Nothobranchius furzeri: one gene and its partners. The protein of the gene in region 1 purifies or fractionates together with the protein of each later gene. This does not show direct contact. Links are inferred from orthologs where the notes say so. Each region holds a gene or a part of one and is shown in the gene's direction. Other genes may lie near its edges.

What was found.
Region 2: the proteins of ddb2 (region 1) and cops8 purify together in Homo sapiens (affinity purification with mass spectrometry; 6 studies listed by BioGRID and IntAct, counting the BioPlex papers as one, with this or other methods). This does not show direct contact. The link is inferred for Nothobranchius furzeri from reciprocal best matches to the Homo sapiens genes DDB2 and COPS8.
Region 3: the proteins of ddb2 (region 1) and cct5 purify together in Homo sapiens (co-immunoprecipitation; 3 studies listed by BioGRID and IntAct, with this or other methods). This does not show direct contact. The link is inferred for Nothobranchius furzeri from reciprocal best matches to the Homo sapiens genes DDB2 and CCT5.

The regions. Positions count from the first base shown.
Region 1 is NC_091744.1:65,528,411-65,531,270, reverse strand, and holds the end of ddb2 (DNA damage-binding protein 2), read left to right. Parts: intron 1-1,057; coding exon 1,058-1,203; intron 1,204-1,397; coding exon 1,398-1,553; intron 1,554-1,663; coding exon 1,664-1,709; intron 1,710-1,801; coding exon 1,802-2,052; 3' UTR 2,053-2,214; downstream 2,215-2,860. Other genes in the region: protein FAM180A, read right to left, coding at 2,821-2,860.
Region 2 is NC_091747.1:24,680,829-24,683,661, reverse strand, and holds the end of cops8 (COP9 signalosome complex subunit 8), read left to right. Parts: coding exon 1-61; intron 62-145; coding exon 146-208; intron 209-1,771; coding exon 1,772-1,851; 3' UTR 1,852-2,186; downstream 2,187-2,833. UniProt on the Homo sapiens protein: Component of the COP9 signalosome complex (CSN), a complex involved in various cellular and developmental processes.
Region 3 is NC_091747.1:54,098,025-54,102,281, reverse strand, and holds the start of cct5 (T-complex protein 1 subunit epsilon), read left to right. Parts: upstream 1-1,444; 5' UTR 1,445-1,598; coding exon 1,599-1,703; intron 1,704-2,073; coding exon 2,074-2,134; intron 2,135-2,265; coding exon 2,266-2,430; intron 2,431-2,831; coding exon 2,832-3,030; intron 3,031-3,155; coding exon 3,156-3,348; intron 3,349-3,441; coding exon 3,442-3,591; intron 3,592-3,680; coding exon 3,681-3,800; intron 3,801-3,877; coding exon 3,878-4,063; intron 4,064-4,140; coding exon 4,141-4,257. Other genes in the region: mtrr (methionine synthase reductase), read right to left, coding at 1-46, 608-751. UniProt on the Homo sapiens protein: Component of the chaperonin-containing T-complex (TRiC), a molecular chaperone complex that assists the folding of actin, tubulin and other proteins upon ATP hydrolysis.

The DNA.
Region 1 (2,860 bases):
TCTCCTCCTCAGCTCAGCTCAACCCCATGATGCAGGTATCTGGCTGGAACAGGTGAGCATCACAGTGAACCAGTGGAGCAAAAAGAGCTTTAAATATGTTGGTTTTATGCTCTTTTTTCTGCTCCAAAACATGAAAGTTAACAGGTGAGATATTGCATTTTCATTTAAGATAAAATTATGTCTTTATTTTGTTGTTGGCCCGTAAGAAAAGATTTAACCTACAGTAAACAGGAAGTGGAAAGGCTGCAGATAGATGAATAGAATAGAAAATCCCTTTATTGTTCCTCAGTGGGGAAAGCTAGACGTCACAGCAGCGATGACACTTATTACAGGAGAAAAAAGGGAGAATAAATAATAAGAAAAATGAATAAACAAGAAAACATAAATCCTGAATACATTTTAAAAATGCTGATTATACCACAAGTAATGAATACCACTGATGCCTTTTATTTAAAACTGACTTGCTCGTGTGTAATTTGGTTATTCCACATTCAGCGTTAATGCAGAAATAAGTTTGTTTCCTAATTTAAAGGTTCAAAATTGCATACATGTTGATAAATAAAATGTGCAAATTTGCCGTCACTTTTTCAAAAATATTAAGTTTGGCCCTCAGCTCCGTCCCAGAGTTTCATTTCGGCCCCGTGTGAGTTTGAGTTTGACACCCCTGGTTTATAGGATCAAAACGGAATGCTGGGAGGAAATGATCAGCTCTCTGCATCCAGATATTTTAGGAACCTGGAATGACTTCATCTGAGTATTTGCACAAATCGTACATCATTTATTTATTTAAATTAGTTGCCCAAGATGTTATGCTTACTTTTAACTTGTTTTCCCGTTTCAAGGGAAATGTAATAAACAAAATTTAAAAAAAAAATTGATTAAAAATCCTAAAATTTGATCTGGGACTGCTGGCAAACATAAAACAAAACTTAAAAGAAAAAACTATTTGCTCAAAGATAACGTTTTAAAAATAAATAAAAATCTCAAAGAATATTAGTCATCTCATCTTTTGGACACAAACCTTGACCCGCATCTTGAATAAATGTCTTGACTGCAGCCTATTTCAACCCGCTGGACTGCTCGAAGCTGCTCACCACAGATCAACACGACCAGATTCGTGTTTACTCTTCCTGTGACTTTTCCAAGCCCCAACACATCATCCAGCACCCACACAGGCAGTTTCAGCACCTCACACCCATCAAGGTTTGTGTCTGAGTCCTCCTGCGAGTTCTGGTGAAACGTCCAGAATAGTTCTAGACTTCTGTATGATTGATGAGTCGAGGCGTGATGTTTTGAACGTGTGTTTCTGTCCCACTAGTGTGGAAAGACTCCTTTGGATGCTAATGTGACATCACAATTAATTAAATTGAGAGAATAGTGGTCCATTTGTTCTGTAGGCCACGTGGCATCCCATGTATGACCTGATTGTGGCCGGACGCTACCCTGATGACCGGATCTGCACCGGGGATCTGAGGAGCGTCGACATCTTTGACTCCAACAGTGGGGATCTTGTGTTCCAGCTTTACGATTCCACTGCCTCCGGGATTAAATCTGTGAGTGTTCATTAAAAGATGGACACGTTAAAGGCTGCTGTTACTAAGCTTGTGTGTGTGTGTGTGTGTGTGTGTGTGTGTGTGGGTGTGGGTGTGGGGTGTTCTCACAGGTCAATAAATTCAGTCCGATGGGTGACGTGATCGGATCTGGTATGGGTGAGTTATCGGACGCTCTTCATTTAACCCAAATTGAAGCTTTTAATTTTTTAAAGAAGTTCAACTGTTTTCTGCGCTTTTATTTTGTAAAGGTGTAACCCTGCTGGTCTGGGACCACGATGAGTCACTGGTCAGCGGTCGGCACAAACAGCACGAAGAAACTCCGTCCTCAGTTGAAAGGTCGAGGGCTCCGAGGAGGAGTCAGCCGCGCTCCAGCAGAGACCGAAAAGGTTCGGCTGCTGACACAAAACTCAAGAAGAAACTGGCTTCTCTGGAAGAAGCCGAGACCAAAAGCAGGACTGGGAGCACGAAACAAAAACTAGCTCAGGCTAGAAAGAAGTGAACTGTTTATCTAAAGTCTTTGTAAATGTCATTGTTAGTGTTTAACATCAGGGACTGTCTGCGTGTTTGGTATATTGAATCTTTGATGAACCAGTTTAAAGTTCTACGTTTTCACAGTTTTTATACTATAGAACAATAAAACTATATAAGTCTTTCCTTAAAACAGTTTCTGGTGTTTACACACTTCTCATGGGCATGGATGACATAAACATGGGCCTTTTTAACTGCTTTCAATCAATATTGTCAGTATCTAGTCGAATCCATAAATATTGGGACGTCGACGGTTCTAAAACGTTTGGCTCTACTCCCCCACAATGGACTTGAAATAAAATAAACACAAAGTGCTTTAGCTGCAAACTGTCAGCTTTCATTTGAGGGTATTTACATTCAAACCATGTGAACGGTAGCCTGGCAAACGATCCTATGTGTGAGGACATATACAAACTTTGCAAAACAAGAATTTGGTTTAGTTCACTAGGCTATGTGAACAGTGTTGGAATAATGTTTTCATGTGTGCCTCACACGGGGCCGAAAGTAATGTGGCAAAATAACCATAAGTCTACCTTCACTTTTTAATACTTGGTTGAAAATCCTTAGCAATGAACTACAGCCTGAAGTCTGGAACACGTAGACATCACCAGCTGGGTTTCATCCCTGGTGATGCTCTGACAGAACAAGGAACTAGTTGAATAGTATTTTGACTGTGAGGAAGACAGAAAATCCACAATCCTTTCACACTTGTGCATTTTATTCTTGTTTTTGCAATCGTTTAAGTGTTGACGAGGAAACTTCCACGTAGCTCAAACACT
Region 2 (2,833 bases), on another chromosome or scaffold:
TCCATTGCTGTGGAGGACTTCGCTGCCTTCGTGGGCTACTCGGTGGATGAGGCAGTAAAAGGTGAGCTCATGTTTACACCTGTGTTGTTTTAACAGTGATCCACACGTGTGTTTAATTCTGTTTACTGATGTTTTCTTTGTGAAGGAGTGTTGAGTCAAGGCTGGCAGGCAGATCCCACCACCAGGATGGTCATGCCCAAGAAGCCAGGTAGGGGGCGCTGCTGTCTTAGTCAATCTGTCTTCTTCTCCCTTGTAATCCTTGTGAGAGATTTATGGATTTTTCCCTTTAGAATGTTTAATTTTTCAGAACTTTCCAACATTTTGTCTCCTAGTTCAGATAATTTATCAAGATTTAAAAACTGTTAGAAGTTAGACGGATTCGTCCTCACTAGGGTGTAGGGAGGAGGAATTAGTCATGTACATACACAGGTTACACACACACGTGTGTGTACACATACACACGCACGCACACACACATAAACACACACACGCACACACATGTGTACACAAACACACACACGCATGCACACATACACGCACACACACACACGCACACACATGCACACACAAACACATGCGCACACACATACACATGCATGCACACACACGCACACAAACACATACACACACGCATGCACACACACATACACACGCATGCACTCACACACACATGCACACACACAGTCTCCAAGAAAATTTTGACTTTGATTTTCAGTTTCAAAATAAATTGTTATAATCAAATTTAACTCATTCACTGCCAATACTGTGTGGGCATCAGGACGAGCCCCCGCACCGTGAGAACAAACATCTCAGCTCTAAAGCTGATCTTCATCTGCATACGTCACACGTCACGTGATCAGGAAGCAGAACATCCATGTGTTAGGAGATCGTTTTGGGCCCTTGCTGTAAAAAAAGTGAGGCACGAACTGGAAAAGCTTCTGATCACAATTCAACAACGATTTATGAAAGAACGGATAACGCTCGAAACGCGCAAATTCTCCCTCATGTAACTCTGCTCCAACACACCTGATTCCAGTCGGCAGGTGATTAACAGGCTTCTGCAGAGCCTGATGAGCTGCTGCAGGTGATTCAAGCACTGAATCAGCCAACCCTGACCGAGCACGTGACCGAGCACTAAAACGTGCCGGTACTGCCCTTCGAGGCGTAGAATTGAATACCCCAGCTTTATAGTTTATAGAAAAGGTTTGTAGGTAAAACTGCTGCGAGGAATTCTGGGAAGTTTTTTACGGCTAAAGATGGAAGTTAGCGTTTGAGCTTAAAGAATTTCTTTGTTACACAGCAACCTTATTTTGTGAAAGGTTTGATGTCACAATCTCCTTCTGTGTGTGAGTAGGACTTGTGAGACCGTAGTTCTTTCACAAAAGGCATTCTGGGATTTGTAGGTTGTTGCATCTTTCCTGTTTTATTTCACTTTTTTAAAACTTTTATTTTGACATTTATTTTCCTCACAATAAGTTTTTTATTTCTCATATTTTTACAATTTTTTAAATCAGACTTTAGACATTTTTGATAGTTTGTTTAACATTTAGACTTTATTTAGATCCCAGCTGATCTCTTAGTGGCGTGTTTTTAGCGCTGCCTCTAGCGTGCTCTGTGGTTTTCTATGTGAGGTCCCTGCCTGCCCGTGTGGTACCAGACAGGTTAAACGGCTGGTTGTAACTGGAGCCTGAACATGTGGGCCGTGGCTGCAGAGTTGAAACCAAAGAGCGATGGGATGTTATCACCCCTCCACCTCCGTCTGTTCCAACAGATCCTCCTCCGGTCGCCCTGGTTCCAAACGAGCAGCAGTTGGCCAGACTCACCGACTATGTGGCCTTCCTGGAGAACTGAAGCTTCAGCTGCAGAGTTTCACCTGTTTGGTACCGAAGAAGACGGGTTTGGACGGACTCTTGGTCCATCCTGAAAGACCTGGCTCTCCCGGTGGAGAATGTTCTGGTTCACTTGGAGTTTATCGAGTCGGAGACTCGTTTTTCTCCTCTCCCTCTTGTCATGATGTGTACATTTGGGTCTGAGCTCAAAGTGTTTCTGACTGTTTTTGTTTCCAGCATAATAAACTCGTCCCTCACAAATGCTTTATTCAGGTTCAGCAGCTAAAAGTTAGCAGGAGTCCTTCCTGACCTCGTATTTAAGTTGCTGTTGATGAATAAATATTCTGCTGTTTCTAACCACTGACTGGTCGTGTCTCGCTCGGCTCAGCACGTTGACTTCACTGACACAAATGAGTCACATACAAGGCCATAAATGTGTTGGTAAGTGGATATTGGAGCTAATTATAAAACAAAATCTGATGAAGCATTGGTGTAAATACATCTGGCCACCGGCTGCTCATCACTGCCACATAGAAGGAAAATCTGTATTTTTAGTCCTCTTCAGACCGTTTGTAAGCATCGTGTCAGAGCTGGGAGAAGATGTGGTTTAGTGTTCATAACTCTAGTTACCGCCTGATATGTTTTTATAATCGCACATTTAAATGCGGACGATTTCCTTCTGCATGGATCCTTCTTAGAAATACGATAAGTAAAATGTTTTCTCGTTTATCTCCTGGTATAAATCCGTTTGATTCTAACAGCAGATCTGATCCAGGATCTGTCTGTGCTGTTCTCACAAATAGGAAGTCACTCGTGTTGAGACATGTTTTACAGCAGCTTGCCTCCAGATCTGAACTCAGACACAGCTGGGTCACGTGGGAAACCATGCTTGGAAGAATCCTTTATAATCTACAACAGCAACACCTGAAGCCAGGCTGACCACCGGCCAATCAGCTGAGCTGGTTGGAGCGCGGTGTTGATGGGTCACCGGTTCCATCCCTGTA
Region 3 (4,257 bases), on another chromosome or scaffold:
TGGACGTAACAAAGATCACTGGGGCATGCTCCGTCTCCAAATTGTACTGGAATCAGTTACATGATTAGTTACTTGGGTTTATGTAATCCAAGTGAAAATGCATTCAGTTAAAACCCGCTACCTCAGGGACCTCATGTTGAAAGATCTCTGTGGATTTCTTACAAGAAGATGACTTAGGCTTGAATAAACTGTATGCAAAAGTTAATCCAGATGTATGTACGGATTTACGCACAATTCCTTCATATGATCCATCAAAGGTGATATTGAGCATAAGTGAACACTGGACACATAATATGCATGCTTTATTATCCAACAATGTAATTGCAACACGTGAAGTTATTATTTATTTTTTGTGCATCTGGTGTTAACAATATTTATTTTCACTGTTTCCCTGCAAGCCCACTATTAAGTGTCACCAAACACGCAGGTAAAGGTAGAAAAGCACATAAGCCAGCCGTGAAATAGGTGTGGGAAAAGGGTGCATGCTACGATGATTTAGTGTTAATACATGAGTAGTCTGACCTGCTAGACTCGTCCTAATACACGAGGCCCCTGGCAAATTCCTGCGGCTACTGAGTCTGTTTCACGTAAATTTATTAACATCTACCTTCTCATTTTGGTCCAAGCAGCTGAGATCAGCAGTCAGACCGTGCTCCTCAGCCTCCTCGGCTATCCCCTCAGCTATAGCCTGAGCTTGGCCCTTCTGGGACCCAAACAGCACCACAAATCGATGCTTCACCTCACAAGGCATGCTGGGGGGAAACAGATAAACAGATAAATATTTAGGCAATTCTAAAACGCCACAGGTAAAATAGTGAGACTAACTAATCAATTATCAGCTGCATTTTAACAAACATCTCAGCTTACCAACATACTTGGACAAATAAAAGGCAGGCTGCCACAGAAACACGTTTAACACACCGCTACGCCACCATTACCGTCAGTACCAGGATGTTGCGTCAAACTTTGACTAGTTACCAAAACAGCGCACGTGGACGTTTTTCACTCAAGAACACTTTATGAACATAACATTTCATATTTGGTCCGTAAACTAATTCGGAATTCCGAGAAACTCGACTCACTTTCTTTAGAGAATCGTGTTTTCTGGCATTAGTCCGTAATAAATACACAGGAAATACAAGCAGTTTAAAGTTAATAAAGTATTTCTACCTTTTTAAATTGTATGAAAATTCACCTCGTCAACTCCTTGCCAACATACCGGTAATTAGTCTTGTTACTGAATTCACGCGAGATCTGAGCTCAAACTGAGATTGCGCGTGATCGGAACAAACCAAGTTACGACAAAGACGTTCCCCTTGTTTAAAATTTGTTGTCAGTTGCAATGATATTAATTTGTATGATTGTGACTAATTTATGATATAGTTGTTCAAGCCTTTTGTCGTTTATAAAAAAGGTGACAGGAATGGAAGAAAACACGCTGAACTGAATTTGGTTCCGCCCTCCCCACCCGTGGAGCCTTCCAGAAGTCCCCGGCAGATCCGTGCGGCTTGCAGTTCAGCCACACTCCAGGATCACATCATTAAACGCGTTATTCTGTCAGATAAACGCCGATTGTGTGTTCTAAACTCCAAATCAGCATGTCCACTTTGGGCACATTAGCCTTTGATGAATATGGAAGGCCCTTCATCATCATTAAAGACCAAGACAAGAAGACACGCTTATCGGGCATTGATGCACTGAAGGTACAATGAGCTAGCTAGCATACATGTAGCGTGATGGCCTAACAAGCAAACCTGCTATTAGATATTTAATTTGGTTACAACACGAATTTATACATACGGCTTTGTGTTGCATGAGTGAATTTGTCCAACACATTCTGATGTTTGTGCAAAATAAGCTGAATTAGATTAGGAAATGAAATGAATTCGTTAGCTATGCTAAGAAGAGGCCCATGTGCTCCCTGTGCGTTCATCTAGTAGGAGGTGCTACATAGGGCTGTACCCTGCATGGTCATGTACATCACCCATACAGCCGACACGCTGTTTACATGCCTTTTGAGGGTGACTTTTAGAGGTAAAATGTGTTTTGATATGCACTTGTTTTGTTTTACAGTCTCACATAATGGCAGCCAAGGCAGTGGCATCAACGCTTAAGACATCTTTGGGTCCAAACGGTACGATCCAGTGCAGTGATGTCATTTCACTTGAATAACTGCTGAGATGTCGAGAGTCTGTGTGACCATTAGATTATTAATTTAATCTAGTTACAAACACAGCAGGTTTACCATGTCATGTCACCGTTTAGGTCTTGACAAGATGATGGTTGACAAGGATGGAGAAGTAACTGTCACTAATGATGGCGCCACCATTCTCAGCATGATGGATGTGGACCACCAGATTGCCAAGCTGATGGTGGAACTGTCCAAATCCCAAGATGATGAGATTGGTGATGGAACCACTGGAGTTGTTGGTGTGTAAACGTGTGCAGAAGGAACATTGTGTGAATGCTTTTTGTAGATGAACATGTGATATATGTTCTGTGTTAATTAATTTTATATAGAATTCTTGGTTAGTATTGATATTTTTATTTTAGTTAAATAGTTTTAATTCGGTAAAGTGCATAAAATTAGGTTTTGGCAGGTAAATTATGAGTTCCTAAAAGTGATTTGTGTGCTGCTACTATTGGGGCATTTTAGCATGCAAATGAATCAGAAAATGTCTAGATATCGGCCAAAAAGTGACAACTCGTATCGGCAATGACTCATACTTGTTGGTATTGGGGAAAGAAAACCCCATAACGGTCTACCTCCACTACCTACTGCTCTTCTAATGCATTTCTGACTCTGTTTACCTATTTTCCTGCATCCTCAGTGCTGGCTGGATCGCTGCTTGAGCAGGCCGAGCAGCTGCTGGACCGAGGAATCCACCCCATCAGGATCTCCGATGGTTACGACCAAGCTGCACGCATAGCCATAGAGCAGCTGGACAAAATAGCAGAAACTTTCCCCTTCGATCCCAACAACACCGAACCACTCATTCAGACTGCCATGACAACGCTGGGGTCAAAAGTGTAAATTAAATTATTATTTTAGTAGTTGTTGATGCCATTTTCCTGTGCCCCTGTGACCTGGCTGCTTTTTAAGTGAGTTATTGAGATTTGACAAATCACCTTTTAATCCTATTGTTGTTATCTAGCATCAACCGGTGCCACAGACAGATGGCGGAAATTGCAGTGAATGCCATCCTCACTGTGGCCGACATGGAAAGGAAGGATGTAGACTTTGAGCTCATCAAGGTGGAGGGCAAGGTGGGAGGAAAGCTGGAGGACACACAGCTCATTAAGGGAGTCATAGTGGATAAGGAGTTCAGCCACCCTCAGATGCCCAAGGTATGATTTAAAATATAAATGTTTGTTGTAAATATTGCTGCATTTTTGTGATGCTTTAACGTGCCTGAGCTAACAAATTCTCTTTTCAATTAGCTTCTCAAAGATGTTAAAATCGCTATTCTAACCTGCCCGTTTGAGCCTCCTAAACCCAAGACCAAACACAAGTTGGATGTGACCTCCGTTGAGGACTACAAAGCCCTCCAGAATTATGAAAAAGAGAAGTTTGAGGAGATGATCCAGCAGGTTAGTAATTCTCACAAATCCCGATGCTACAAAAATGACTTTTTGTGGTTCATGCAAATCAAGGAAGAATAAAAACACCTTAATTCTAGGTCAAAAGCACTGGTGCTAACTTGGCCATCTGCCAGTGGGGCTTTGATGATGAGGCCAACCATCTTCTGCTGCAAAGCGAGCTGCCTGCTGTGCGCTGGGTTGGAGGGCCTGAGATTGAGGTGAGGTAGAAGTCTTGCATGTGAAAGGTCAGAATGAGCTACCCTTGCTACGAGCTCACCCTTTGGTGTTTTGTTAGTTGATTGCTATAGCTACCGGAGGCCGTATTGTGCCGAGGTTCTGCGAGCTGACACCAGAGAAGCTCGGAACCGCTGGCTTGGTGAAGGAGATCTCCTTTGGCACAACCAAGGATCACATGCTCGTCATCCAGGAGTGCAAAAACACCAGGGCTGTAACCATTTTCATCCGAGGCGGCAACAAAATGGTACGCTCTCACAAGGCTGTATCGTTTTTGTCCTTTTTCATCACATTCATGTCTAATGGTCAAAACCTTTTCATTAGATCATTGAGGAAGCCAAGCGTGCTCTCCACGATGCTCTGTGTGTAATCCGCAATTTGGTGAAAGATAACCGTATTGTGTATGGGGGCGGAGCTTCAGAGATAGCCTGTGCCCTGGCT